Linked DNA regions of Drosophila melanogaster. The protein of the gene in region 1 interacts with the protein of each later gene in a pairwise test. Each region holds a gene or a part of one and is shown in the gene's direction. Other genes may lie near its edges. The genes, in order: CG16812, CG12620, eIF4E7 and CTCF.

Region 1 (7,355 bases):
TGGGAAATTCGCGTGGACAAAGTTCAGTGCACTCTTGGCCAACGACTCGCAGTTGTGGGCCTCGGCGAAGCGTAAAATGCCCAGGGCATTGGAGGCGTGCAGCTCGCGGCAGAGGAACTCGCAGCACCCGTCGACCACCTCGTTTAGCTGCAGCATGTCGGCGGCGGCCAGGAGCTCCTGGACATTGGACTGTAAGATCAAAGAAGGGATTAGAATTTGGAGACCAAGCGACTAGGTGTATGGACTCACCTGGGTGATTTCGCAGCGACCCGTATAGATGAAGTCAAGCAGGATGTGCAGGATATCGCCGTCGATTGTGTGCAGCACAACGGATTTTTGCTTGACCTCATTTAACCCGAGCTCGGGTCGAAACATGGCCTCGAAGTAGGCACTGGCTGCACTCAGGACAGCCCGGTGGGCACTCAATGTTGCCATTCCGGCGATGATCTCCACGTCGCAGAAACGGGACTGCTCGCGCAGTTGGTTGAGATTGGAAAGCACCTTGAACGGATATTGGGCGTTGCAGTAGGAGGGCAGGTTTGTGCGATGGCTGGCCGCTGTGGCTCCAGATCCCAGATTTTGGCCAAAGAAGTCACCGTCGCCGCCGCCGCCGGTGGGATTCTGATTGGCGTTCTGATTGGCATTCGCATTCGGACTGGTATTGCCATTGTATTCGTGTATCTGGTATGTTTTCAACGGTGGCATTTCGTCAACTGTTGGGTTTTTACTTTTCGGCGATCTTGAATCCGATATCGCCTTAATAAATGCACTTTTCGGGGGCGACAGCACAGCTCAGACTCTTCGCATTCAATTGTTTGGCTTAATTAAACTTAATTGCTGCACTCTGCGCTCACTTCACCCTTTGTTGTTGCTGCTGCTGCTGTTGTTGTTGTCGCAGTCCGTTTATTTTTCTCCAATCAAAAGGCGAGCACACACACCCACACACGCAATACAAACGACTGCAGGCAAAAGGTTAGCATATCACAAATTAAAACAACCGAAGTCCGCTACTAAGACAGCTATTTCCCCATTAAGATGAAATAGTGTTTTTAATATTTACAAACTGGCATATTTCTTTGACTTTTCAATGCACTTTAGTATGTAGCTGGAACTGGAGTCGATGTTTTTGGGCGACTATCGATGTTGATAGAAGTTGCACTATGCCTGAATATCGATAAGTTCAGTTTTTATCCAGAACTTATTGATAGTAATCGCTGCTATCATCTTTGGTCCACCTCTTGTTGTTATTTAATTATTTGTATTTTATTTTCAATGAATTTTCAATGAAAAGCTGACAAAATGATATCGCGCAAACTACTAAACCTTCGACTGGGTTACCTGGCACGCCGTTGGGCCAGCACGGATCCGCTGAGCATTCAGAACGAGAAGCTGCAGGCTTATTTGGAGTCTCTACGCCAGGAATACTACGCCGTGCGAGTCAACGCCGCCGGAAACAGCAAATCCTACGCCCGTCTCGCCCAGCTGGAGGGCGTGGTCAGTGCCCTGGAGCAGCGACGCGTACTAGAACGGCACATCACCAGCGCCAAGGACATGGAAGCGGAGAAGGACGAGGATATGCGTGAGCTAATGCGCGAGGAGAACGAAGTCTATGTGGATCTACTGGGCAAGCAGGATCAGGCCTTACTGCAGGAGCTGCTTACGCTCTCTGACGATGAGGAGTATCCGGCTCTGATCTTCGGCCTGAATGCCGGCGCCGGTGGCCAGGAGGCAATGCTATTCGCCCAAGAATTGTACGAAATGTACACCGGCTATTTCGAGCACATGGGCTGGGAGTGGGAGGAGTTTGCCAGCGAGGGCACCGACATCGGGGGTCTGCGGCACGCTAGTCTGATGGTGAGCGGCGAGGATGCCTTCCGCTGGCTGCGCTATGAGGCTGGAGTTCACCGCGTACAGCGGGTGCCGGCCACTGAAAAGTCTGGACGCATGCACACCAGCACCGCCTCAATTACAGTGATTCCCCGACCCGCCGACATCCAAGTGCACATCGCTGAGAAGGATCTGAAGATCGAGACGAAGCGAGCGAGTGGAGCTGGTGGACAGCATGTTAACACCACCGACTCGGCTGTAAGAATTGTTCATCTGCCCACGGGTCTGGCGGTGGAGGCGCAATCGGAACGCTCCCAGCTCAAAAACCGGGAGCTAGCGATGAAGCGTCTACGGTCGCGACTTGTGCAACAGCAGTTGGAGAGCGTTGAGGCTAGCAAAATGGCCACCAAGAAGGCGCAACAGGGTAGTCTCAATCGCAATGAGAAGATCCGTACCTACAATTTCGTCCAGGACCGCATAACGGATCATCGAATTCAAGGCGGTACGCTGCACAACCTCAATGGTTTCCTCAAGGGCGGCGACCAACTGAGTGGACTAATAGAGAAGTTGCAACTGGAACATCGAAGGGAACGACTAAAGGAGCTCTTGGATAGGTGGGAGCCACCAAAAGAAGCTATTGAGAAAAACTAGAGCTACTTTCGTTTGTTACTACATTTATACGCCTGTGTTTTAGAGGATAATTGTGCTTTTGCAACAGAAATTATATTAAAAGAGAGCAAGGGCAGCCATCTGAATACAATGTTAAAGACACTATTTAATTTGTAAATGTTGGTTCCTTTTTATTATAATTGTTGCCCTTCAATTGTAAAAAACGACAAGATTGGAATAGAAAAGATTACTTTATTTCAACCAACTTTCGCAAAGTCAGAGGCACTGCCCATGTGCAGAAGGTGCTCCTTGACTGCTGCCTCCAGAATGTCCCTTATTTCGCGGCAACCCGCCATAGCAGTCTCGATGACGGTTTCCAAGTGATCGATGTGGAACCGCTCACTCATCTCAAGAAAGGCGATTTTCTCGGCGGTAGGCAAGGCAGCCACGGTTAGTTTCGGTCCGCCGGATACCTCCTCGAACTGAGAGATGTCTGTGAGCGGGATGTTCGATTTGCTCAGTGAGGCGGTGCAGGCGACAATGAACTCATTGAGGCAGATTCCCGCATCAATTAGCGCCAGTGTGGCGGCATTAAGAGCCACCGCATAGTTGGCGCCGTCGTCTTGGAGCACCTCCACGTATATGTCTATCTGGGAGCGGGGATATAGTTCTGATTTAATGGCAGCACTTAGCGCCTGCTGCAGGTACAACTTGAACTCCAGAGATTTGCGATCGCCGCGCGGCCTATTTTTGCGCTCCGCCGTGGAGAAGGTTGCCTGACTGTACTGACAGTTGATGACGGACTCTGTCTGATTGCCCTTGGCCTGGTGGGGTCCATAGACGGCAGCCAGAACCTTGGTGTTTCCCTGCTCCATGTAGGCACTTCCATCGGGCTGCTCGAAGACTCCCAGTTTGCACTTGATGCGGCGCAATTCATGAGGACGTCGTCCGTCCAGACGGAGGCCCTGCTCACTGAGCAGATCGTATTTACCAGACATATTTTGAAACTTTAGAAATACAATTATTTTGATTTTAACTAAATATCACACGTGCGGCGGGATTTGTTTACAATTTTAACAACAGTGTGGAAGTACTAAAAATACCGACAGTCCATGAAAAAATCCTTTTTATACTAACTTCTTTTAATATGTACACCGTACGTATGTAAGAGTAAATAAATAATTAAGCATATATTGCCAAAGTGTACTACATTAAATCACGATATATAGAAATTTAATAAGGATTTTAATAAGATTCTTTAAATTTAAATTTGAACAGTGTTTGCTTTGATTACCCCTACTACAACATTTTGGAATTTAACAACACTAACACATGGTCTAATCGATATCCGATAACCGAATACCGATAATCGTTCAGGATTTGTGGTAACTCTAAAATATATAAATAGTTTCGAGTGCAAAAAACGGAATTTATGGGAATAAAATAAATAAATAGTAGCTGAATCGTGTAAGAATCTGTGCTTGCCAGCACCAGAAATACGCAAAATGTCCAAGTCAAGCGCAGGTGGGTTTATAACATCGTGAAAACGAAACAAACTGAACAGACGCTTCCGGGTGCGAAACAAAAATAAAGACCTAAAAAATATCACACACTTTAAAAATAATGAACTCACCACCGAAAATTACAGCACGCTGGGTAAAATTCTTCAATGCGGCCGGCATCCCATCTCCTGCGGCTGCCGGCTATGCCCACGTCTTCGTGGAGAACCGCATCCAGGACGACATGCTGTTGGATCTTAACAAGGAGTATCTCCGGGAAATGGGCATAACCTTGATGGGCGATATAATCGCCATCCTGCGGCACTCAAAGACCGTCTGCGAACAGAATGCCCGGGAACAGGTCCTCACAACGGAGGTGGTTCAATCAGTTGTCCGACCGGTATCGCCAAAACCCAAAGCGCCGGTTGCAACTCCAAAAGCAAAGGTTTATCCGCCTGCGAAACCTGCAAGACGGGTGCTTCCGGAGCACGAGGGCAAGTACAAGGTGACACTGCCCTCGGGAACCACCGAGCGCAGCAAACAGATCTTAGCCAAGCGGGAAAAATGTAAGATTACAGATTTCTAAAGAACAAGATCAAATTTTCAATATATCTTCTTTTAGTATACTCCGATCGTGTGAGCAGCTCCAAAAAGTCGGACATATTTACGCGCCTGCATGCCGAGGACGAGGCGCAGGAGGGCATTGTCTCCAGTTCGGGCGAGAGCAGCGTCCGCGTGCACGTTGCCGGCGCATCAAAAACAGCGGCCACCTCCAGCAATAATTCGGTCTTCGCTCGACTCGGTGGCAAGCAGGGCGCTCTTCCGGAGGAGTTCACTTCGACCAGGGAAATCAAATCGATCCTTAAAAACACACACCGTACAGTTGGTGGTGGAGGAGGAGGAGGAGGGGTCACCAAGAACTCGCCCATTGTGAAAGCGAAGAAGGTGGCCGCTGTAACGCAGCAAAAGGTCATGCTAGTTCACAAAGTGCCTCTTAAAAAAGGCGACGACGACGATGATAGCATGGACGATTTCGAAAGTGACGAAGAGGATTACATGTCCAGCGGAGAAGATTTTGATATGGGAGCCGGCGAAAAGATTGTTAAGTTCGCCTCGACAGCGGAGGTTCGGGAAATCGTTCCCGAATCGGCATACAAAAATAGGCAGGGCAAAAGTTTTGCGAATAATATTAAATCAAGGCTCGGAATGGGTATGTTTGCTTCAGAGCAGAAGTGGCACAGTCAATTAATTTATAACATTTTTTTTAGTATCCAAACTTCATGCCACGAAGAAGACATACAACCTAAAGGCATCGCCTGCAAGGAAACCACAGGCTCGACTCAGTCCTGTTAAGGGCAAGACCATACGCATGCGCAGCGACGAGCTGTTTAGCCGACAGGACACGGTGCCCGTCCACAGGAGGCTTGGAAAAACCGCGACCTCCGCTCCCCTTAGAGCTCCACCAGCTCCGCCACATCGACAGCCGCGACCGGAGCCACAGAAGAAATATGTTCCGCCAAGGCGCCATAACAGCATGAATGCTGGTCACAGCAGGCAGCGAGATCAATCTGGCTCTGTTTTTGACCGCCTTGGCTTCAATAACTCTATGTAAAGTTTAAGTAAATGTGAGCCTCATTAAATTTGCCAGTACATGTTTGAATTAAAATAGAAGTTGATTTGAAATGTATGAAATGAATGAGAAATGGCAGGATTTTTGATCCTGATCTCATTATTTCAGTTTAAACTCCTGATTGTTTTGAATACCCGATTAGTATCCATCGCAAGCTGTCAGAACATAAAACCAATTGATTAACTTTATGATGAAAAACTATTTATTTTGTTTAAAATTATATGTATCTACAATTACGCTAGAATTTCGCATTCGTTCATATTGTACAATCTGTCCGCGGTCACTTAAAGGTCTATATCACTGGTTGCTAAGCAAATCACTCCGTTTCGAATGTGTTTATGTGCGCATCAAGCTCATTGCTGCAGCAGAGCCTGGAGGGCCTGGCGCCATTCCAGTGGCCAGGTGTTGGCATCCGGATTGATGTTGAGCAGTTGACGCATCTGGAGCACGGCACGTTGCTTTTGTAGCATGTAAGCGTATGCCTGGTGATTGAAGACCGGCGAATGGGTGACCGGAATTTGGGTTACCGGAACTTGGGTGGCAGGAAGCGGATGTTGCTGGTGCTGCGGTGGCGTGGTTGGTGGTGTGGGAGGCAATGAGTGGTGATGGTACAATGGTTGCTCCTGCATCTGCTGAACCTCTCGCTCCGTCTCCTGGCGACGCTTTCGTGGTGTATTTTCGCTGAGGGCATATGGCCGGAATAGGGGCGTGGCATTGGCTGGGTTGGGGGCGATATCCTTGGAGCTCTTCTTGCCAAACTTTTTGTGCGTATAGCCGGCGGTTTTGAACTTCTTGTGGGTGTAGCTCTCGCCAACTTCCGACTCGTTGTGGTAATCCATGTTCGAAGGTGCCATGATTGGGGTTTTAAGTTGTGTTGTTTGTTGAGTTGTTTTCACGACGGCTGTTAAGGCTCGACTATGCTCCTGCTGCTGCGCAACCAGGTTTTTATACCAACGAGATCAGAGGTCCTACCTGAAAACACTATCATTAAGAGCGAACATGCGCCCTGTTTATGGGAAACTCTTCGTTGACAAAAGGTTGGCATTGTCGTAGGGAGAATAAAAGGATTTCGGCATACATCCATACACTACGAGTACCTGTGACCATTGCTGGCCGACTACTACTACCTGCTCATCTGAAAGTCCTTTGTAATTAATTTTTCATTTGCTGCAGCGCGCTGCTCGCACCTTCTATTGTGTCTGCCTAGTCCGTCCGGGTTTTCTTGGAAATTTCCCTGCCGACTTTCTCGAGAAGCGTTTTCTACCTCGAAATCTGGCCAGCGCCTGCGCTTGCCACTCTTTGATGCTGGGCCACGTTGTCTGGACGCTTCGGAATCTGGATTCTTATCTCGCTTACCGCTAATCTGCCTCATTAAGTTCTCGTCCAGGGTATCCGGGTATACCTTTATGTACCTTCGGCAAAATGCCAGCCGCTGCTTAGTCACAATGGTCATTGAATGGAAATTTATTGGGATTTTCCCGAATCGATGGGTGCGCGTCTGGCCTAGTCTGTTCACGGGATTTCTTGGATTCTTTTCTTTTTTGTATAATAGTAGAGTCATAATTTATGGAAAAGCAAGAAATTTTGTTTATAATATGTCACTCACTATATGATTATTATACATTAATTAAACATTATTTTTTGTTGGTTTGCGATCATGAAAGATTGGTAATGTAGAAATTAAAATATTGCTATATGAAATCAGACTATAAGGTTTTCATTTTATACTTTTTCAAAACTAAACCTTCAAAGTGAAAATCTTGTGATATAAACAATAGAATATTGCTATA
Region 2 (6,462 bases), 3.9 Mb from region 1:
TAAACCATATAAATAAACAAAGCTCTGGCCGTCGTTCATCGTCCGGCGTCCCTACGCACTTTGTCGTGGAGCGAGAAACGAGAGGCAACTGTCGAAACTGTCAGGATGTCAAATAAGCGACAGTGGGTGGCAGACAGCAGGAAGTGCGGTGGCTCCGAGTCCAAACCCAACGCAGTGCAGAGGAGAGTAGTACAGGACCAGAACCAGAACCAGAGGCGGTATCAGGATCAGCAGAAGGACCACAACCACCCTAGGCATATTTATTGGAAATCTGAAACAGCTCGGGTGTCGACACTGCGAGAAATAAGTTACTTCTTTTCACTATAAAACCGATTTTGTATGCTTTGCTTATGTGGGATTCTTCACACAGCTTATTGGCTTAAATTATATAAATGCAGGAATAATTAGTCATTTTTACTTTGTTTATATATTTGCTAAATGTTTTTACTATGAATAATGTCGTTAATTAAGTTTCTTCATAAAATGGATAGTAAAATATTCTTAAAATAATTCTCCAAGTGCTCCTCTTACACCCACTCCAGTGGCGAACACTCCTGACCATGTATCCGTGTCCGGCATCGGGCACGAAGAATTTGTTACATGAAATTGTTAACGGGCTGAAGCCGATGCCTCGACTCGACTGCGTTTGATGCCTTTTGCTGATATATGGCCAACCTTTGACATCCTTTAAACGAGCAACATGATGCTCTAGATTATGGCCAGGAGATTGGCCCGACTTTTCCCCGTTGACTCCTCGGTTTGCCCGGATTGTCTCACTTGGGCGATACGTCAATGTGACAGTTTGATAATTTATTTTGTTCAAATTTTGTTTTTCCTTCGCTGGGGAAAAGAGCGCTTAAATAAGTTATCAACGTGGACCGACGGCCATGTAAATGGCAGCACGTAAATGAATGAAATTATTTTGCAACAAATTAAGGCAAATTTATGCGTCAAGGCGACAGGACAGGGGATTCGAGATGGGTAAGGGAGATGGGATCCTGGAAGCCTTGTAACAGGAAACACAATCCACAGGCGAACAAACAAAAGCGAAAACGGAACAGCACGAGGCGAAACGAAACGAAACGAAACCAACAAACAAACAAACAATGAAACGAAAAACGACAGCCTCGAAGAGTGAAAAGCGACGAGTTTTCCTTCACCGAAATCTGAGCAAGGCTTTGTGCAACAAAGTGAAGAACCCGGCTGCCCCTTTTCCGCATTTACAAATCCCCCCACCCCTTTAACGGGTCTAACTGCGTCCGCTCTGCACTTGTACACATCCTGACATACACATATATATTTTTTATTTCCCAGCCAAGTGAGGCTGGAATCAAATGTCAATAGAGAGTACATTTCATTCGGTCGGGTGACTGGGTTTTTCTGCCCAGCGCCACCCACTTTTCAGTTCCCCGCATTGTAGCTGTCACAGTGTTTGTTTGCGGATTTGAAGCTTTTCCTCTTTGCAACGCGCTTTTTTGCCACGCCTGCCGTTGTCCTTTATCGAAGGAGCGGCTTGAGTATTACGAACTGAATGCAACACCTCGATATTCTCGATACCTTATTTAATCTCATCGGCATTATCAAAATGAATCCACTTATCTGCTTTCATACTTTTTGGAATATTAATATAGTTTCTTGTATTTAAGAAATAAAATGTGTCAATCAATGTATTGCTTTTCTTAAAGAAATTTTTCCAATTTAATTTATATTTTTTTGGGAAATCGTCACCTAGAGCATTTCGAGTTCGTGTGGCCTTCCTCAAGGATCTCTAATCTGCTTTCTGGTTCGGATTCTGGTTTTATTTCCGGGCATCCTCCGATGCTGTCCGCCCCTTTGCCCGCCCACCGACTAGATGCTTTGGACTTGCTTTTTATTTGCACGGAAATGTATAATTTTTCCGAGTCAAATGTAAATACTTTTAGCGTATTTTTGTGGGATTCATCGCCTTGAATTTTTTGTGACTGGGGGCCTGGGGCGTGGCACATGCAAATGACACGCCTGATGCTGCGTAAATAATTTTAGCGCTCTCTCTTTTGGCATAAAATGCTAAATAAACATTTTATTCTTGGCAGAATTCCTTCTTCGAATGTGGGTCAAATGGAGTGTCCATAAAAGGCGCTTTTATCCCAAAACCAGATGCCGAAAATACAGTTTAATTGTATGCATATTGGCTGCGGTTCCGTTTGAGTTGGTGGAAACGTCACGTTTCAACAGCTCAATTTTCGGTTTTGCGATACGCGAAGAAACTTTTGCAATCCAATTAAATTCATCGCAAGTCGAAATCTCGTTTTGACAATTTATGCATCCTTGTGAGACGCCACAGGCATATTTATTCCCATCGATGGCTAGACAATGACGCCTGCGGTCCAATAAATAACCGTCCTTTTGACACAATCGAAATTGGCTCGCAAACAAATTTCTTTTGTCGAGATATCGCCCTTTTTTTTGTGCCCACTCGCACCAGAGGTTAAACACTTAACCCGCGTTGTGGGAAAAATGTGACATCAAATTATGGAACGTAGGCAAATCGCGGCCGTTATCAAAAAATGTAGTAGCCATGGTAGCCAGACTGAAGTCCACGATATGGTTTGATTAAGCGAAGTCGTGGGGTAAATTTACAAGAAAAAAACGAAACGCAAATGAGAGCGTCAAATATATTAAGGCATTTGCATTGGAAGTATTATATTATTTTTCTAATGATCATGATTAAAATGAATTACTGAATTTTTTCCGATATAAGGCTAAGCTAGTTAACATAGATTAAAACATCAAAGCTAACACATCTAGTTCAGTCTGGGCAGAAATAAAACTTAAACGTATAAACATTTTATATATCCCAAAAATAAGAAGTAGAACCTAAAAAAAAAAAACAAACACATTTTGTCTTATAACCATGACGACTAAAAGAACAAGGTTCGATAAAATGAACCTGGGAGTACCCGTTCACTCGGACCCCTATGAAGTGGAAAATGAATCGGCCTCGTCAATAAAAAGAGAAACCGGCGAGAAGGTCATGTCTCATAAGGAGCTAATGGAAAAACTGCATAAGGAGGTGAAGCTCACGACGCCGGACTTCTTCGCCCATGATCCATCCTGCAGCTCGGACGACTCCGAAGATTTCGAATTCCTGGAGACTATCAAAGAGCGAGCCAGACGCATATCCTTCGTACGACGCCGAAAGCTGCACTACACTGAGTTCTCAACGGTCGAGTTGGCCAGGCGTCTGATCCGCGAGGAGTTCACAGAGTCATCGGAGAGTCAACTAAGCGTGGATGATGAACATATCTCCGAGATCGCCGAAGAGGAGTGTCCGCCCTGCGGCACAGACTCCGACGACTTACTTCCGTACTTCCAATACGATCGGGCTACAGACCAATCGATGATTTCCGACGACAGTCTGCCAAAGGAGGATCCCGAGCCCGGATTCCATCCCGCCCATCATTGCTATAATAAGCTTATAAGCCAGACTCCTGATCCGCCGATAGTGTACGTTCCCGCGGAACCAGAACCGCAACCGGAACCGCAACCGGAACCGCCAGTGGAACCGCGACCGGAACCGGAACCAGAACCAGAACCGGAAACAGTACTACCACCAACTGCTCCGGAAGTCATTGATAAAACAGCTCCAGAAGAAGAAAAACACACTAGGGTCCTTGACCGTGGCGAAAATATTGACCTAAAGAATTTGAGCGCCATACAGAAAAACATAAGTTCGAGTGTGAAAAAACATACTGGTCAAAAAACGCGAAATTTATAAACTTAAATTGATTGATGCAATTGATGTATATGGGATCCCATTTCTCATTGTGCATTAGATTAGTGTTGCCTAAATTAAGAAAATGTTTCGTTGGCTGGAAATCAAAATCCAATCCGTATAGCCCAAATGCTGCGAATGTTTTTACTTCATATTCCAGAAGTTATATAAGGCTTTATTTTAATCGTAAAGTCAAATAAACCCATATTCGTAAATGCATACAAGCTAATGTAGACACCAAATAACCGTAATCGCCTCTGATCTCAAATGACTCCATCAACGCTCTCTTTCCCCAGCGCAGCTTTAAAAATATAGTTTTCTCGACCCGGAGACCGCACAATTATTTGGGCCATAAAGGACAAAACCCGCACTAGCGCACACATGAAGGGACGGAGGACATTCAAAGGGATAACTAAGTGTGCACGATAATGACGCCTAACGGGTTCCATTCTTCTCCTTGCTTTTTTTTGCGTGGGTGGATACTAGGAAGATGAGACAATAAGGAGCTAGAAGGACAATGTGCTGAAATTATTTCAAAAGTCTTTGTGTGCGATGAAATTCCGTAAAATACAGCCATTTTGTATTGGCCTTTTAATTTAATAAAATTATTACTCTTAGGGATAATATGGATTGGTTTTAAGTTTACTTTCTGTAATATGTAATTAATATTTAGTTAGTTCAATTCATAAACAAGAATTATGGTATTTTCATTCATCACAATAATTGTCAAGCAAGTGCCGATTTCAATTCTTTTGTTTGTTTTCAGATCTGTATGAGCTCAACTTACATTACAATATTTCATTTATTATCCATACCCATTTTTTTCATTTATGCAAGCCAACATGGCTTTGTAGCCTGTGCGTGTAAATGTTTTTGATTCTTTTAAAATATTTTAATTACGGAAGTTTACACATACTATTTCTTTCTTTTGTTTTCTTTTTTGTGTCGGTCATGTTTTCCCTTTCGATACCGGTCATTGTTTTGTTTAATTTTTGTATACACGTTAAATATGTATAGTGATAAGAATTGTGCAAGTTTTGTTTGAAAAAACTGCCACGTCCGTCGGTAACTCTCTTACCTCCATGAGCTAAAAAACAATTTACAGCCTACACTTTTGAAAACCGAGTCAATTACTCTCCAATTATATTCGATATCGGATAGGCGAAGAGCCACAGTATCTTGTTTTCTCTGGACATGTTAAACCTAACTTAAATTTTAAGAGATGCAATATAAATATAAGTTTAACATCAAATTTAATGCCGATATATAACTTCAAATCTAGCAGTATCTTGTGTGGCACATCACTTTGGTGGTGTAGCAATTAAATTCGTCGGACTTAATAGCGTTTTCATTTAAGTAATCTTCAACAATTTCAACCCAGACGTTCTCGATTTTTGGCCAATTTGGCGTTCCTTTCGGCCATGAAATGGAAATAAATATCACGTCATACGATCTGCAGCAAAATCGTCATTCGCCTAATGAAGACTTTGTTGTCTATGAAGGCTAAAGCTGGAAATGTCTAGACATTCTCGGTTGCTTGAACCCCTCAGCTGTGGATGCAGTCCCAGCTGCTGCCCGTCTGGAGTTAAAAAACAAGTCGAAGAGATTGTAATCCCTACTTTAGTATACTACAGCACTTTTATGACATTTAATTGCCGTTTGCTTTTAGTCCACACACACGCTTCTTTTCTCGAAAGTTTGTTTTTAAAAGGGATACAAGGCTAAATAAGTATTGAAAAGCGAGTGCAGCTGACCTTTCCTTAAATTGACCTTAAATTGAAGCAAGCAATTCTCTATTAAGTGATGTGAAGAGAATCCTGTAACTTGGCACACCTCAAACAAACCAAATTAAAATTAAATGTATTTTAGGTCATCGCAATGTGCTGAAATTAATCTTTAGCATGGCAATTTGGTTAATTTTTTATGGGGCCCACAAAGTGACACGTCATGCCGGCAAATCAAGCGAAGTGGTCTGCAAGTGCCTGGTCCTAATCATCATCCAAACATTGTGGCCAGTCATCGTGACTTATGTCAACCCGTTCAAGTGTGTCCCTGCTAGAGTCCTTGCATGTACATGCCTCGTGTAGCAAGGATACAAAGCAATTGTTCACCGCAATCGGCGGCATTTGGAGTGCTTTAGACTTAATGTGCGTCGAGGGGAGCCAACTGCAATCGGCATTCGTCGATGGCAATCGAAGTTTCTAGCGATAGGTGATCGGTAATCAAGGATGGAATGAGTTCCCATGACTGTTTTGCATTTGAAGTGGCTTCATGTTGCTTTGTTGCTCTAGATAGAACTGCTTAGTAATTCAATTAAATGCCTAATTAATATTAAGTATTTTTGCGGCTTTGTAACACATTTATTTGAATTTACGACTTCCATTTTTTTTAGTTTTTTATTAAATTTATATGTAATGATATCATAAGCGGTAGACCAAATCCCCCAAATGCCACCTTGATTGATTGAGTGATTGATTGACCTTATTTGTAAGCACTCATGGGACAGTTTACCCTTTTGACCAACTGCCATCGAGCGTGAAGCTGTCAAAACGTGGCTATGGAACGGAGCGGACGGTATCCATAAAATATGGCTTAAAGCCAGGCATCACGTGCCATGAGTGTTGACCCCAAAAGAAAACCGAAAATCATAACTCAATGTCGGGCTAACCAAGTGCAAAGCGCGAAATTAGTTTACACTTGAACTCGTA
Region 3 (8,969 bases), on another chromosome or scaffold:
TTCTAATGTGGTCCAATGCTTTAACTTTGAGAAGCGCAGTGAATGACGCTTAGAGGTAACTAAATCTTTAAAGCGTTGCGATGAGCATACAGTTGGATTTTTGAGAAGCGCAGAGAACGGCGCTTAAAGGTAATTCAACTTCTAATGTGGTCTAATGCTTGGACTTTGAGAAGCGCAGTGAATGGCGCTTAAAAGTAATTAAATCTTTAAAGAGTTACAATGTGCATACACTTGGATTTTTGAGAAGCGCAGAGAACGGCGCTTAAAGGTAATTCAACTTCTAATGTGGTCCAATGCTTGGACTTTGAGAAGCGCAGTGAATGGCGCTTAAAAGTAACTAAATTTTTAAAGCGTTGCGATGTGCATACAGTTGGATTTTTGAGAAGCGCAGAGAACGGCGCTTAGAGGTAATTCAACTTCTAATGTGGTCCAATGCTTGGACTTTGAGAAGCGCAGTGAATGGCGCTTAAAAGTAATTAAATCTTTAAAGAGTTACAATGTGCATACACTTGGATTTTTGAGAAGCGCAGAGAACGGCGCTTAAAGGTAATTCAACTTCTAATGTGGTCCAATGCTTGGACTTTGAGAAGCACAGTGAATGGCGCTTAAAAGTAATTAAATCTTTAAAGAGTTACAATGTGCATACACTTGGATTTTTGAGAAGCGCAGAGAACGGCGCTTAAAGGTAATTCAACTTCTAATGTGGTCCAATGCTTGGACTTTGAGAAGCGCAGTGAATGGCGCTTAAAGGTAACTAAATTTTTAAAGCGTTGCGATGTGCATACAGTTGGATTTTTGAGAAGCGCAGAGAACGGCGCTTAAAGGTAATTCAACTATTAATGTGGTCCAATGCTTGGACTTTGAGAAGCCCAGTGAATGGCGCTTAAAAGTAATTAAATCTTTAAAGAGTTACAATGTGCATACACTTGGATTTTTGAGAAGCGCAGAGAACGGCGCTTAAAAGTCATTAAATTACTGATGCGGTGCAATGCTTGTATATGAGGCACGCGAGAACGGCGCTTAGAGGTAAGCAAATTTTTAAAGCGTTGCGATGTGCATACAGTTGGATTTTTGAGAAGCGCAGAGAACGGCGCATTAAAGTAAATAGCTTCAATTTTAACATTTAAGTTCAGTTCACTGGGCTTACTTCGAACAAAAATGACTTAAACCAAGTAAAACAGTTGATCCACACAATATTAATCCACGGCGATGGCATCTTTTGACACTGTTGAGAACCTTGTGAAAGAAACTGCTACTGCTGCTTCTGCCTGCGGCTGTTGTGGCAACATCATCATCATTCATTTGCGCCCAGGTGCGTTTTCGTGTGCACTCAGTATTTTGCCGCTTACTTGTACTCGTATTTGGGTTTTGGCATGGGACTGGGCTGGGGTTCCCGGTGTCTATTGCACACCTTGTGCCAACTTTCTGCGGATCCTTGCAACGAAGCCACACGTGAGTCGCCCTATTCTTGTTTGTTATTCTTAAAACTTGCGCCTGATTCCGCTTGGCTGGTTTTGGTGTCTGCTTGAGTTTTAGTTGCTGTCTGCATTTCGTTTTTGGTTTCCGGTCCTGTCGCCTGTTTTTGGACGCATTTCCTGGTCGATGTGTTGCTCTACCTATTAAACTTGGGTATACGTAGAAATAGTGAATTTCTACTTGTAATTTTTTCAGCTTAGGTTGAATGTGTCCCTTAGCTCAATAATTAGCAAACTTCTTTAGTGTTTTTGTTTATCTGAACACAGAACACAGTTTGGGGCTTTAGTGTTTTTCCAGTACGACTTTACAAGTTTCCATCGATAAGGTCACAGCTCCAAGTCGACGGATAAAGAAAACATTTCGCCACCAGTTTTGAACAGATGTCGAGGCCGCGGTGACTCTGGCTTTTGACGGTATGTTCCGAATCATTCAAAATTCGATATGTCGGCTAGCTACACACGCCTGTTCCGCGTTTTGTTCGTGATAATTTTCATCAAGTTACTCCTCCTTTTGGGACTCCTTTTGGACAGCTACGATGGTGCTGCCCGGCTTCAGAGGCGGTCGAATGTGGATATATTTGATGAACTACTCGTAGATCGGAGGCAAAGTAAGAAAAACTTCCAATTAGGAAAAGCTTTCGCTGGGGTCAGAGTGTATTAAAAGTGTGTCAATATCAGAATGTACATTTAAGGAGCCCACCTACCATTTTAGTGCCTTCTTGGGAGCAGCGATTGGAATGGATCCGCGAGGAAATGCATTCGTTTCCGCTGAAAGAGCTCCTGGCCAGAAAAAACAGACGATTGCCTTCAGTGAAGTGCGGCCCCGATATGATGAACATTGATTTTCATTGATAGCCCTCTGCCAGGCTATTGATGGCAATAGTCCCATCCACAGATCCCAAGTTCGTGGTATGTGTGAAGGCGAGGGATTTTCCAAAAACTGAGGCTTATTATATGCACCGCAAGTGCAAGTGCGTGTAACGCTGTATGCATGTATTTATGGCTTTTAAGCTGTGCCAAAGTTATTTAAATTACTGATATCTGGCTTCTTTGTGGGTTTATCATGTGATTATTTGGGCAAGCAATAAAAGAAAATGCTGTATTTTGGCACAATATTCTTCATGATTCCGTCTATGAGTTGCCTACAACAGCTGTTAAGTTTCCACGGTTGTCTGTTAAGTTGCCTGTCCCTCTGTTGCTCGATCGAGCAGGTCCTGGGAAATCCTTGTCGTTTGCTTCAGTCGGCCACGAACTGTTGGTCGGGTTGGAGGTGGACTCACCGACGCCACAACCGCCCTCTGATTGCCTTTTTGATGCATTGGGATGTTTGTATTTGATGTGTTGCTTTTTTGCGTAATGCAACTGCTAACGACTCTTTAAATATTTTACACGATTTAGCATTTCATAATGATAATACCCGCAATCCGCTTGCGGGGGGCATGCGTTTATGGTTCAATTTCAGTTTATGCATTCTCATAATGCTTGATGATTTCAGAATGCCGTGTTTGCATTTCAACTCCAAATGACTTTTTCAGAGCGATTCATTCGCTGGCAAAATGCAAAAATGCACATAGAATTTAATTTAATTTGCGCACACTCATGCACCATTTATCCACTTCTAATTAATTGCATTGCACAAGAACACAAAACGCAAAACATTTGAATGCGAATGTCTGAACGGACATGAACAAATATACAAATGTGAACAAAAACACGCTCAGAGCTAACTGAACTGAACTGAACAGGGCAAAAAGCGACACAAGATGAAAATATTCATTATTATTTGGCCAAATTGCGAATTAATGATATGAGCAAACAGGCAGGCCATAGTGTTGTTGGCATGCAAATTATGGCAGCGCGCAAAAACAAAAGCAATGCAATTTTTTAATTAAATGCTTTAGCTGTAATCCAGGAGCGCTTAGTGGAGTTCGGATTAGGCCATATACTCGCGAATCCGATCCCAGTGATGGGAAAAAATGCAGAATAGTACCGAAGTGGGACCGGACTTTTGTTACCAAAAGTCATTTTTCAGAGCAAAGTAAGTCTAGAAATATAAATCAGTTTTGGACGACACTTCGTTGTGAGAACAACCGGGTTTTAGTCAAATTTTATTTACAAAACCATTGCGATTTATTTGTTGATATATTTTGATTGACCTAAGCGGTATTCGGATATTCGCAGTGCGTTAGGTAAGTTGTGTAGACCCAATTCGTAGTGATTAATTATGGCATTAGAACTGTTCGTTGGGTTTCTCCTCCTTCGTCATCTTCGTTTACAAATAAGGTAGTGTGTTCCTTGTCGTATGTAGTATGTCTTGTCTGTCGGTCAGCTTAGATTTCATTGGCTGCCGCCGATTACTGGGAATCCCCGAAAGTATGCAAAAAGTTGGGCTAGAGCAATTGAGCGGATTGACGGTAGTGGGGATGGAGCTACCCCTGCTTAACCCCATCACCCGTCTAGTGCAACCGGCATACAAGAATACGAGGAACAAAGTTCAAACTAGCCAAACAAAACAAAACAGAACAGAGCTGAACTAAACTAAACAAAACAAAACAAAACAGAGCTAAACAAAACACACACAACGCAACAGGGAGCTGCTCATGTTTTTTGTTAATTAAAATTGGCATAGCAGCCGAGGGGAAAGGCAAGGACTGGGAACAACATTTTTGCATTTTCATCAGTTTTTCGAGGCAGCTAGCAGTCAGCAGCCGGCATTTGAACATTTCAACATTTCGGCATTTCAGCCAGCGACGATGGCTCACAGGTCATAGGTCACAGAAGGCGAGCACAGATGCCAATGTAGAGTAGTCCACCTTCCTTCAACTTCCTTCCCACTTCCAACGTTCAACTGAATGAGTGCCACTTCCTCGCTGTGTGCATATTTACCTTTAGAACATTTACTTTTTCAACAGACGACAACCGACCCGTTGAGGGCGAGTCCTCGATTTATGTGCTGCCAATAAATTTGCCCAACACTTTGGCCCCGTCTAATGCAATATTTACATCGCATCGGGCCAAATAAAAAATTGCATCGATAGGAACTGAGAAGGGCGAAACTGCTTTGCGGGAACTGAGAGAAATCCAAGGTGCCTTCTATTGTGGCTTTCGACTACTCCCATAAGTAAATTATTCATTGAAATGAATCTAGATCGCCAAAGTACAGTGACATAAAGATTCAAAAGCAGTTCATTACATGCTATAATCTAAACTACTGTCGCGATAAAATTTAGTTGATCTCTGTAATACTTTCGCTAAGTGCACCCGCACGTCTTGTAGTTTCTGTTTCTGTTTTGGCCCTGCTTTTCATTTTGATGTCATTTAAGTTAAAAGAGGAACATTTGGAAATGTCGGGTATGAGATCCCTAAACGGCTTTTAAGAAGGAAAACCTCCTGCAATGTGTTGCCTTTGTTGTTTCCCTAATTTGTATGGCAGAAGTGAAAGGAGATTCCCATATCTGTACAGTTCTTAGCCCATGCCAAGTGATACAAATGTACATATGAAGTCCATGGTTAAGGCACAGATATTCCATTAAAACAAAATCGGGTCAAATAAAATGGCCATAAACTGCTTGCCAAAAGCGTGAAAGCACAACACTCGCTCAAAGTCCAAGTCCGCTCAAACATTTGCCACGCCTTGGATTCTGTTTCTGATTCCAATTTCTGATTGATTTTTTCTCACTCATAAATTCGAGTCCTTTTGACCCCATTTTAACTTATGGCAGCCAGAGTCAAATCAAAGTTTGTTCTCCTGGTGGTTTACTTTTGTGATGCCATTACATAAAGATTCCTTCGTCCGCTGCATATCGTAAATGTAGAGAATTTTTAATGATTTTAAAAGATGCGTAAATACCAAGGCATCGTAATCTTTTCTATCGGAGATTTTGGCGTGTGAAAAACGCTTTTACTCGGTTATTTCCAAGGGGCAAGCACAACTTGACCCAGCTAATAAGAAATGCGTGCTGTGTTACCTTACACCCGTGTGTTTGGGGTTTTGCACCCACTCAAATCATTCAGTTCGGGGGGTGTGTAAATATTTGTTGCTAAAGTTGCCAACTTCTGCACACGTCCCTTGGTCTTGGTCAGTTTTTCCTTTCGTGCTTCCAAAGAAGAAATTTCCAGCTCACGTCTTAGAGAAAAGGGGCATGTTGGCTTGTTTGCCTCATTAGTCGGAAGTTCAGAAAGAGCGTTTGGCTTGGCTTTGTGGATTCATCATATATATAATTGTATAGGAAGCTACGAAAATGAAAGATCCCAAAAATCGCCATTATATTAACCCTTTTTTTTGTTAGATTTGTTTGTTTAAACATAGCGCTAACCTCGCCATTTCCGTATAACTCTACAGCCGTTGCTGACCTCGAACAAAGCCGCCATGCTTCCCAACAGCTTTTACAGGATGAGGGACTTTGCCAATCCGAGAACAATGTTTAAAAGCTGTGCGAACAACAATGAATATCCCACACAAGGTCCCCAAAAAGTGGAGTCACCAACTGATGTTACCCAGCCTGCTGCAGCTCCTCAATCCACTGAAGATACTCAACCAGAAAAGACCCAAGAACCGATGAATGATCCAAACAAAACGTCGCCATCAGAGCCCCAAAAACGTGGCAAGGGGAACCGGAAGGGCAAGAAGAATCAAAAGAATGCGCCACGCACTCCCAGTCAGACGAGCAAGAGCAGTCGAAGCAACAATCCGGGCAAAGATGGAAAGTCGACGGGAAATGATGACAATGAGAAGGGTAAAGGCCAAGGAAAACAGATGGTCCAGCAGAAAGAAAATAGCCCTGAACAGGAGCAGTCGACTAGTGCACAATATAGGAAGAATGTGCTCGACAAGGATCTGCAGGACAAGAAGCTAATCGAAAAGAATATGCAGGGAAAGATAATCACACAAGAAAATCTTTTAGGGCAGAAGGTCCTAATGCGGTTATCCGAGCAGAAGCTTTTGAGCTTGAGGCTCGAGCCCAGGATTAAACAGAACACATGTCCACCGGCCAAAAAAGAAGATGCGGTGGTCGCTTTTGACAATTCACTAGAATTTCTGTCACTGAACAATAAATGTGATGATGATCTGACCATCGCGGCGGAGAACGCCGAACTTTTGGAGGTCGAGGATCCTCAACATCCACTCAACAACTGCTGGACTCTGTGGTATCTAGAGAACGATCGAAATAAAAGTTGGGAAGAAATGCTGCACAAGGTTACAAGCTTCGATACCGTGGAGAAGTTTTGGAGCCTGATCACTCACATCAAGCCCCCATCCGAGCTTATGCTGGGCAGTGACTACTCCCTGTTCAAGAAGGGCATTCGACCCATGTGGGAGGATGAGGCCAATGTCAATGGAGGACGCTGGGTCATCAACTTGACCAAGAGCGCCAAGATGGCTCTGGACAGTTTCTGGATGGACGCCATGCTCTGTCTGATTGGAGAGGCCTGTAAGCACTCGGACGATCTTTGTGGCGTTGTGGTCAATATTCGCGGAAAGTCGAACAAGATCTCTATTTGGAACGCTGACGGGGGAAATCAGACTACAGTCCTTGAAATTGGACGCATTTTACGCAAGGTTCTACGCATGGACAACATATACGTGCTGGAGTATCAGTTGCACAAGGACTCCAAGGATAAACTGGGATCAACTGTGAAGAGAATATACACTGTATAGGTTCTCATCAGACAATTGCGAATCGAAACATTTTCAGTATTTTCGGTATTTTTTCACAAGAACTTGAAATGTCAAGCAGGTGTGATCAGCCATCGATCGATAGTTAGTTGGGTTCCAAATCTCTAGTCAAACCATCCGTACACGTACACGTTGTACATAAAAATTTGAATGTTGCTCCTATAGAGCGACGAAATAAATACATAACTATTTGGTCAAGAAGTTGTTTGTTTTAAAGTGTGAAATTGGAGAGTGTTGGAGAGAGACTGCGAAATGTTTCTAACTATGCACCTTCTTTACTAATTTAACCCGATTCCAAGAACATGCAACATGGTTTGTCTCGATTCCTGAGTTCCAATCGGTGTATTGGATGTTCTTTGTCTGCTCCACTGCTAACCATTGGGGCGGGCATTCAGAAGTTGGTTGCTAGCTTTTTGTTCGCTTTCACATCGGTCAGCGGACATGGGACATTTGGACATTGGACATTGGCCGTTGGACTTATTTGGCGCACGGCGTCACACAACTTGGCCGTGCTCAATTGTTTGATTTATTGGCATTTATTGGCAGTTGGCATTTTATTGTGACTGCTTTGGGTGACCACGTAAGGGGAGCCAATGATGTTGGAGTGGAGGCAGGTGCGTTCTCCTGGCACTGAATTCCTTTTGTTGCTGTTCTTGGCCACTTTTCCATTTGACGGGCTTTAATGTGCTTAATGTATTTTCTGTGCCTTGCTGTGACCATTTTCCTACCTTCTAATTTCTTCCTGAGCTTTTTTTAGCCACTCTTGCGAGGATTTACTATTTACCAAATATTCTGGTGACTCCACGAAAAAGGTCAAGGCCCAGGTGATTTGGCCCAAGTGCGCACCATAAAAGCGAGCTCACCTATATTTCGCCATTGATTTATGGCACTTAATTTCATTCCATTGTGCCAACGAGCCAGAGCCATTGATTAAACACCTTAACGATTTTCTATGGCCACCAACCGTTGTAGTTGGGCACCCACTTATTAGAGATGGAAAACCGAGGAAAGCGAAAGCGAGAAGCCATTGTATCGATTTGGTTTGCGATCCCAAACGGTGGGGGATGGTGGGTAAGGGGGCTTACGGACTAGTCCGATGTTTAACAATGGTATTGGCAATAAACCGAAACGGAAAATCTGTAACATATATGTATGCTGAACAGGAGCCGAAACCAAGCCGCCCACTTCACCCAGAACAATTGCCAAAAAGTCCTTTCTCTTCTGTCCTATAAATAAAAAAATTTGAAGTGTCTGGCACTCGCACACCGACTTGGGATTGCTCTAAAATTTAAGTATTCTATGTATTCTCGCGCAAAACTAGAACCAAAATCGGCTTCACTGGTAGCATGTATCTCAAATATCAGTAGTCAAATGAGAGCTTTGCCTATACTAGTTGAATTTCGAACGTTGCGCTCACCTATGTGCAGCGGACGAGTTCCTCCTCCAATCGGCCCCAAAAATAAGATAGAAACGAAAATGTTCCTTTAGGCTGCCAACTACCCCAAACTATGGGGCTCAAAAAAGGCCGCCCCACAGGTGGCATTTGTGTTGTAAAACGTCGATTTACATGCGTGTGCTGTATGCACAGGGGAAAATATGTACATACATATATGCATATACGCACATGTACACACAGGTAAGTGGAAGTGGAAGAAGAGGCACACCAAGGCACTGGCGAATTTCAATTTATTTACTTTTATTTGCGTATGCAAAATAGTCGGCTGCGGCTTGATTTTGGTTATCACACGCATTGGCGAAGGGGAATTTAGGAGATACAAAGGGGGATTGCTAAGAGGTTTTTTTGTTTCCAGCGCTTA
Region 4 (8,157 bases), on another chromosome or scaffold:
TGGATAAGTACACAACGCCGGCGGGCACGACCAACAGGAAGGTGCTGGGCTACCTGGATACTGGGTCGGCAGTCGGAGGATTTTTTGCTGCCTGTGTGCCCATTGCTGCCCTGCTAACGCTGCCCGTATCCGCTCCGCTGATGGGCGCAGCGGGAGTAGTAGGTTTGGCCAGTGCTGGATACGCCGCATCGCGGTCTGGCAGCAAGCTATTCGATCGCAGCCAACATGAGCAGTCTATCAATGTGACGGACCGCGAAGCGCGTGGTCACTGGTTGGGCGTGGCTGGTGGCACTGTGGGATTGGCAGCGGCTGGGGCCACCACAGTCTTGACAACGGCCACAAATGCTGGACGCGAGGTGGGAGCGGTGAGTCCTTAAACCCCCCCCCCCACGCAATCAACAATGGAATAAAAATGTTAAATATGTACTCACATAGATCACCCAACTGACTGTGAATAGCATGAACATATCCTCGATTGTGGTATCGGGCACTGGAGTTGCCAATGGTGTGCTGGATCTGATATTGGCAAGTCTCGAAACTTAGACTGTGATTAGATTAGGCTAGATAGATTAAACTTATGAAATTTATGATCTTCCACAGAAAGCAAAAGACGGTGACGAAATAGTTGCGATGGATGTTTTGCAATTGTCCGCTTCGTTGGTGCTGCTCACGCACAGCGTCTACAACTTTAAATTGGCTTCGACCATAATTAATGAGACAAGCAATGCTAATATTGCCGACTATCGTAAAAACCTTTCTAATAGGCAGCGGTAAAAAACGTTCAATGAGATACATTCTGTCGTAAACAAGAGTTTCTACTTGTATTTTTTTTACCATCAGGCGAACCTTTGACAAGGCTGCCAAGGAGACCGTTCGGATGCAAGGCAACACTCGCGGCAAACTGGACATTATACGCAACGTAAACGAAATTTCGCCACAAGAGTTTAATGATCTTTTTAAGATCAACAAAAACTTGAATCAGGAGGGCGTGCGATACTCATTCGCACCCGATGGCAAAGGATTTTTACTAAATGGCGATGTGCAGACGACGGGTGCGGAATTGCGAGCTAGTGTACAACATAACCAAGGAGGGAATGTCCTAGGCAAAGTTAGTCAGCCCATTCCCGGTAGCCATGCGGGTTCTGGTCGCCTTCAACTGGGCGGCGTTAATCAGGTTTCCCGTCTAATCGGACCGCTGCCCACATCCCATCCTCGACAGGAACCCAGTACCTATGCCGCCGGCGTGTTCGCCTTGGAGCTAAGCTCTGTGTTGGTGGGCGGTGTTGTTTTCGTACTGGAGAAATACGGAAAAATCATATTTGAGCACGTGATCAATGCTGAAAGTTTTGAGAGCCTAATCAACATCATGGCCAATAAGCTTGATCCAAAAGTCTTTGACCATATAATGCTATTGACCAGAGCCTTCATGGACACCATGCTGGAAGACCTCACCTCGGTGCTAAAGTTCTTTATATCAACGGAATCCGTTCTTTACCGCATTTTGTTGTACATTTTACGGAACTTCGAGGACGTGCAACTTTCGGTTATTGCGGATCACACTTGTGAGATCGTAGAAGCCGTAAGGGTGTACTTCATGTCCCTGAATCCAAATGCGTTCCCGGGTCTCCTTCAGAAGTGTCCGAAATGTATCGGCCACTTCAGCGTTTGTCCCTTGTAAGTGTTTAACGAAATGGTTCGTTTAACATTAGAATTCAAGGGCCATCAGCATGTCATAATTGATGCCCAATTGTTTAACCACAAAGAAACGTTAGCTAGTTCCGCAAATAATCAATGGGATAACTTACTTAATATGAGCACAAATTGACAAAGATGAAATTGTTTTAGCATTTAAATAAAGATTTTATTAACCCTGTTGAAATAATTGTAATAAAAGGAGAATTTTGAACCGGAATGGTTCTGATTTCCGGTTTTCGAACACAGAATATGTGAATCATTCATTGTGTAAAGGGGATTTTTTTTAATCTTTAAGAGTAATTCCTAAATTTACAATCTGATGTCATCTATACTATGGTATAATAGCAACAGCCATACCACCAAATCATTGAATGCCTTAGAATATAAGTCATAAATTCAAGTATCCCATAAGAACAACCCCAATTCTGGTGACAATAACAAATCCAGCCTGCCCTAATGTAACCATTAACATCTGCTGCCGAATCCGTTATTCCCACCAAAGGGTCAAAACCGCTAACGCAGCTCAAGTTCTCGGCTGATCAGTACCCATGAGCGATCCATCCACTCAAGAGGGCACCCAATCCAACAGACATAAACATCCGCAGGGGCTTTCGCGACATCAAAACCGCTTACGCAGCCCAAATCCTTGGCTTATCCAGTATCCAAAAGAATACAGATTATATTTTTTATCTAATAAATTACCGTGGATTCGTTATTATATATTTTCTGTTATCAAGAATTAAAGATAGTTTATATAGAGATGACAAGATACGAAACCAATCGAACTATCGATAGCTGGCGGTACTGATGCTACATGTCGCCATCTTTTATTAGAAATGGGCAGCTGTTTCATGTGGACGCAAATTAAATTGTAGATTTAACAACAATAACGACAACCGGCGTCCCTTTCAACATATTTTTTATTGGCAACCAAGTGTCGGTAGGTGAATTGAATCAAGCGGGATTACAATTGGTCGTTGCGAGAAATCGATAAGCGCCCTCTTCGGGATCCCGGTCATCCGCTGTGGGTCGCCACCAAAACAAATCCAATTTGTCCATAGGAATGCCAAGGAGGACAAAAAAGGACGAGGACCCCGAGGATCTGCAGACCTTCCTCAACAATTTCCATAAGGAGATCGAAGGCAACAGCGATGAGAAGGTGGTAAACACGATTTTGGAGGCCATCAGCGCCGAGGCCATCGACTTGGATGAAAATGGTGCGGAGGCTGGTGGATCGAAACCGATGGAGGAGGCGGAGGCTGATTTGGATCATGCGGAGGAAGCGGAGGAGGAGGAGGAGGACGACGAGGATAAGTATTTCATAGATGACGAGGGCAACTGCTATATCAAGACTACGCCCAAGAAGCAAAAGGAGCTACAAAAGAAGCTCAAACAGGCGGCTGCCAAGCCGGGGAAAGCTACACGTTCCGTGGTCAGTACAGCCACCAATAAATGTGAGTTACCCTTTGCCATATATGTGCGTGCATTTGTATCACTTGCTCGACTCTTTTTAAGCCATCAATTTGCGGCCAGCCAAATCGACACCGAAAGCGACTACTTCGAAGCCTCCCCCAGAACCCAAGGCAATTAGCGTTCGACCAGCCCGAGCAGCTGCAGCCAAGGCGAAGCAATCGGCGATGCCACCGCCACCGGCATTAGTGGTCAAAGTACCGGCACCCAGGGGCAGGCCTAGAAAGAACCCTGTCATACCGAAGCCTGAACCCATGGACTTGGAGCGGGAGCTCGAGGAGCTGGTAGATGAGCCCGACATCAGTTCAATGGTGACAGAATTGTCGGACTATACCGTAGACGAAGCTGCCGTAGAGGCAGCAACAGCTACGCTGACGCCAAACGAGGCTGAGGTCTACGAATTTGAGGACAATGCGACGACAGAGGATGAGAATGCCGACAAGAAGGACGTAGACTTTGTGCTAAGCAACAAGGAGGTGAAGCTGAAGACAGCTTCTTCTACCAGCCAGAATTCGAATGCATCGGGACATAAGTACTCATGCCCACACTGCCCGTATACGGCGAGCAAGAAGTTTCTGATCACGCGCCACTCACGAAGTCATGACGTCGAGCCATCCTTCAAGTGCTCCATCTGCGAGAGGTCCTTTCGATCGAACGTGGGCCTGCAAAACCACATAAACACGCACATGGGCAATAAGCCGCACAAGTGCAAGCTCTGCGAAAGCGCCTTCACCACCAGCGGCGAGCTGGTCCGTCACACTCGCTACAAGCACACTAAGGAAAAACCGCACAAGTGCACGGAGTGCACATACGCCAGCGTGGAACTGACCAAACTGCGCCGCCACATGACCTGCCATACGGGCGAGAGACCATATCAATGTCCGCACTGCACCTACGCATCGCAGGACATGTTCAAGCTGAAGCGACACATGGTTATCCACACCGGCGAGAAGAAGTACCAATGCGACATCTGCAAGTCGCGATTTACGCAATCTAACTCACTAAAGGCCCACAAGCTCATCCACAGCGTGGTCGACAAGCCCGTCTTTCAGTGCAACTACTGCCCGACGACTTGCGGTCGGAAGGCTGACCTGCGCGTTCACATTAAACACATGCACACCTCTGATGTGCCAATGACATGCCGGCGCTGTGGCCAGCAGCTGCCCGATCGCTATCAATACAAGCTGCACGTTAAGTCACACGAGGGCGAAAAGTGTTACAGCTGCAAGCTGTGCAGCTACGCTTCGGTCACCCAACGCCATTTGGCCTCACACATGCTCATCCACCTGGACGAAAAGCCGTTCCATTGCGATCAGTGCCCGCAGGCCTTCCGGCAGCGTCAATTGCTGCGCCGCCATATGAATCTCGTGCACAACGAAGAGTATCAGCCACCAGAACCGCGCGAGAAACTGCACAAGTGTCCGAGTTGTCCGCGGGAGTTTACCCACAAGGGTAATCTAATGAGACACATGGAGACTCACGATGATTCGGCGAATGCTCGCGAAAAGCGGCGTCGCCTTAAATTGGGCCGCAATGTGCGGCTGCAGAAAGATGGCACTGTCATCACGTTGATCAAGGATCAGTATGTGGATATGGACCGGGACCAGGAGGAAAACGAAGAGGATGACAACCCAGAGAGCTATGACTTGGCTGAAATCGAGCCGGAGAACTCGGAGGCTGAAGACGCCGATGATGATGTGGAAACCATAGTCAGTGATCCGATCCGTCAGAGAATCAAGCCAGCACCTATCATTATCAACAAACAGGCCAGGCTTGCCGCCTCCGAAAAGCAGCCGATGATCATCAATCAACGCCTCCGAAGTCAACGGGGCACCAAGACGTTCCACATCAAGGAGGAGCCGGACAACTCGGACTTCACCGTGGAATGGCAAGGGGATGATGGCGAGGTAATGGTCGTAGAGCTGGTTAATGGCGACGAGGAGGTGTTGGTCAAGCACGAACCGAGCGCCAACTCCAAGATCAGTGCCAAAAACTGCTTTGGTTTCGAGGTTAGTTGCAAAAACTTTAGCTGGCATTTGTTCCATTACTCAAAAATTTGGTTTTCATGCAGGACGACGATGATTATGAGGAGTATGGCGATGGGGAAAACGAGGTCGATGGCGCTTCCCAGGAGTTTCTGCAGCTGATGGATATGATTGAGCAGGACTCTTAGTCTCCTGAAAACAAAAGCTAATGGATAAGTAATTATGACTAACTTATGTACATACCAAGCATACAATAACGTATTTCTACGTTACATTGTTTTCTATTTAAATACACATTTAAAACAGTTAGGAAACCTATTTTTACTAGGTTAAGAAATGGATATTAAAAATGTATTCTTTCTAAATGAATGTATAATTCTGGATAAGCAGTTAACATGCCGATATGGCGACTATTTGTAAATGATCCCCGACACTTAAACTTTAGTTGACAACTTGGCATAAATATTTATTTAAATACATTTACATATATTTCAATGTTTTCATTAGTAGTATATAGTATATGGGCAAAATGTTAGGTGCGTTTGCGTTTAGCTGCATCTGGGCGTGCACTGTAAATTCTCGGCTATTAGTTGTCGTTTCTACCGTAAAATGTTCGCATAGTTTATAGTTTTCCATTTCCACTTCAGCAATCTGGTTAATTTTCTTGTTATTTTTCCGGTTTCTCTTGCCGTTTATTTCTTTTTGTTTCTTTCATGTGTATAACTACAATAAAAATATATATATTTTTATATATAATATATGTATATATTTTTTAGGTGGTGCAATGTGCAAAAACCTGCCGTGCAGTGCATCATTATCATTATTTCAATATATATAGTTGCGTTCATTTGTGTTGATTTTATAGTGTCTGCATAAAACATTAACAATTTGTCGTTAATAGTACATATGTATGTATGTATACGAATCGCATTTGTATAACAATTAAAATGGAACAACGTCGATAAAGGAAGTGCACATTGAGTTCCGAGTGAGTTAGATTTGATAAAATGACACTTAGAAATTGAAAATTGCTTGCAGAATTGAGTTACGAATACGAAACACACTTAGAAATACAAGAGCTAAAAAATTGCATATTCTATAATTCAGTAATGCTCTGCGAGATTTGCTTGATCCCCACCCCCCCCCCCCTCTCCCATTCGTTGGGCGAAACTAAAACTGGGGAAACTAAACGAGCTAACTAACTACGTAACTTTGAAGCAAAACTAAATTAAAAGTATAAAGTAAAATGTAAAAGTAAAAAAACAAATTCTTGGAAAGCTGTAATATGGCTCTTTGCTAGCTCAACGATAAGCTTGGCTTATATCAATTTACTTTTGGCTTAACAATTTTCTGTAAGGCTGCTGTTGGTTTTGTTATCCATCCCATTTCATCCGATTCACTATCAAATCCAAATCCTATCCTCCTCCTATTTCCGTTCTCATCGCTCTGGTTTCGGTTGACAGTAAGGTAGGGGTTCTCTGTGGGCTTTTCGGTTTGGCAAAGGGTAACATAAATCTCAGAATATCTTCAGCTTCTGCAGGAAACGCAACAGGGGCGCACTGAGGCACGCAGGCGTCGGCTGGCTGCTGGCCTGCTGCTGTCCCGGATTGGCGGCAAAAGAGGCTCTGCCGTTCGCAATTCACGACTGCTCCCTCTTTTGCCTCTTTGGCTGCTAATTGCAATTGAGCGTGTTCTGGTTGGGGCTGCTGCGTGAGACGTTGTTGTGATTGATCTGGTTCGACTGCGTGATGCTGGCGCTATCGCTCGTCTTCCACGACAGCAGCTTGTTGAGCAGGCGGTCCATGTACGGATTGCTACCCAAACGAGCCACCTGTGTGGGTTGAGAGATTACTTTAGTTTAGCACAAAACACGTAGCAACGATGGGATGTGTGCGAATTTCTACTTTTAACATCATCAAGACTTCCAAGCAACTTCCACTTCCCATTGCTTGTCTTCAAGTACTAACCTCCGACCGAGCCTCTGCGTCGAGCGACTCCAGAACCTTGCGTGTATACTGAAAGCTGCCCAGCTTTTCCAACAAGGTGATGCAGTACTTCTTGACCTCAATGTCGTGCGTGCGCTGGCGTAATATGTCTGTGGATATAACCATAAGCCATCAGCTTAATGAGTGAAAAGCCTTTGGTTGAGGTCAAGACGTTGGACTTACGTAGAACCTGTTTATCCTGCTTTTGGGTGCGAACCGCATGGATTACCGGGAAGCCGAACTTGCCCTCCGTCAAGTCCTCGGCGAAGCTCTTGTTCTCCGTGTACTACATCGGAATGTTATCACAGATTAACAATGACTTATGCATATTGCCAACCAATCTATACACTCACCTCTTTCAGACTCAGATTGCAATAGTCGTCGCGTATCTGAAAGTACAGGCCCAATATAGCCGTCAACTTCGAATAGTCCTCCTTGTTGGAGCTGAACAGCTGCATAAGGCGAATGGCCAGCATAAAGAGGCCGCCAGTTTTGCGCACAGTCATCAGCTTGTAATCCGACTCGGATGGACACGTGAAGCTGTCGCGCCAATAGATCTCCATGCCCTGTCCACGGTGCAGCTCCAGCAATTGTTCGGTGTACACCTTGGTAGCCTGCAAGAAACGCGGATTACTTTGAGCTTCATAGTAGAGGTGGATTTGCGTACCTCCGGATGATCCAGCTGCTGCACCTTCTCCAGCGCCAGAAAGAGTGCATAGTTGGCCGCATTTATGGTGCTGGCCACGCCGTAGATGGAATGCGCCACGGGCACACCTCTGCGAAGGATCGAATTGTCTTCAATATCATCAATGCTGTAAGTTAGTATCAAGAACATACATGTATATAATTTGCCGTGAGTTAATTGTGTACTTGTATTCAAGCTTAATATACTTTCAAGCATTAGATACTACAATTTTACTACCTTACAATCAACTTAGCAAAGAAAGAATTCGAGCCAGTAATGTTTTGAAATTAGAATAAATGTGAAAATATGTTCTTGGTTTTAAGATTCAATAGTTTAC

Evidence for each region.
Region 2: the proteins of CG16812 (region 1) and CG12620 interact in a two-hybrid assay, tested with the Drosophila melanogaster proteins (one large-scale study listed by BioGRID).
Region 3: the proteins of CG16812 (region 1) and eIF4E7 interact in a two-hybrid assay, tested with the Drosophila melanogaster proteins (one large-scale study listed by BioGRID).
Region 4: the proteins of CG16812 (region 1) and CTCF interact in a two-hybrid assay, tested with the Drosophila melanogaster proteins (one large-scale study listed by BioGRID).

Annotation. Positions count from the first base shown.
Region 1 is NT_033779.5:13,218,788-13,226,142, forward strand, and holds CG16812 (uncharacterized protein), read left to right. Parts: upstream 1-3,799; 5' UTR 3,800-3,941; coding exon 3,942-3,960; intron 3,961-4,084; coding exon 4,085-4,501; intron 4,502-4,557; coding exon 4,558-5,145; intron 5,146-5,203; coding exon 5,204-5,547; 3' UTR 5,548-5,758; downstream 5,759-7,355. Other genes in the region: CG9426 (uncharacterized protein), read right to left, coding at 1-189, 250-705; mRF1 (mitochondrial translation release factor 1), read left to right, coding at 1,300-2,478; Ski6, read right to left, coding at 2,694-3,434; CG15480 (uncharacterized protein), read right to left, coding at 5,919-6,419.
Region 2 is NT_033779.5:17,084,832-17,091,293, forward strand, and holds CG12620 (uncharacterized protein), read left to right. Parts: upstream 1-2,809; 5' UTR 2,810-2,893; coding exon 2,894-3,757; 3' UTR 3,758-4,355; downstream 4,356-6,462.
Region 3 is NC_004354.4:1,156,981-1,165,949, reverse strand, and holds eIF4E7 (eukaryotic translation initiation factor 4E7), read left to right. Parts: upstream 1-3,560; 5' UTR 3,561-3,664; intron 3,665-5,817; 5' UTR 5,818-5,844; coding exon 5,845-7,134; 3' UTR 7,135-7,351; downstream 7,352-8,969.
Region 4 is NT_037436.4:7,351,059-7,359,215, reverse strand, and holds CTCF (CTCF), read left to right. Parts: upstream 1-2,502; 5' UTR 2,503-2,635; exon of another isoform or gene 2,636-2,756; 5' UTR 2,757-2,758; coding exon 2,759-3,149; exon of another isoform or gene 3,150-3,210; coding exon 3,211-5,174; intron 5,175-5,236; coding exon 5,237-5,338; 3' UTR 5,339-5,638; downstream 5,639-8,157. Other genes in the region: pst (pastrel), read left to right, coding at 1-365, 436-525, 601-770, 841-1,678; qm (quemao), read right to left, coding at 6,823-6,981, 7,118-7,245, 7,319-7,421, 7,489-7,749, 7,803-7,947.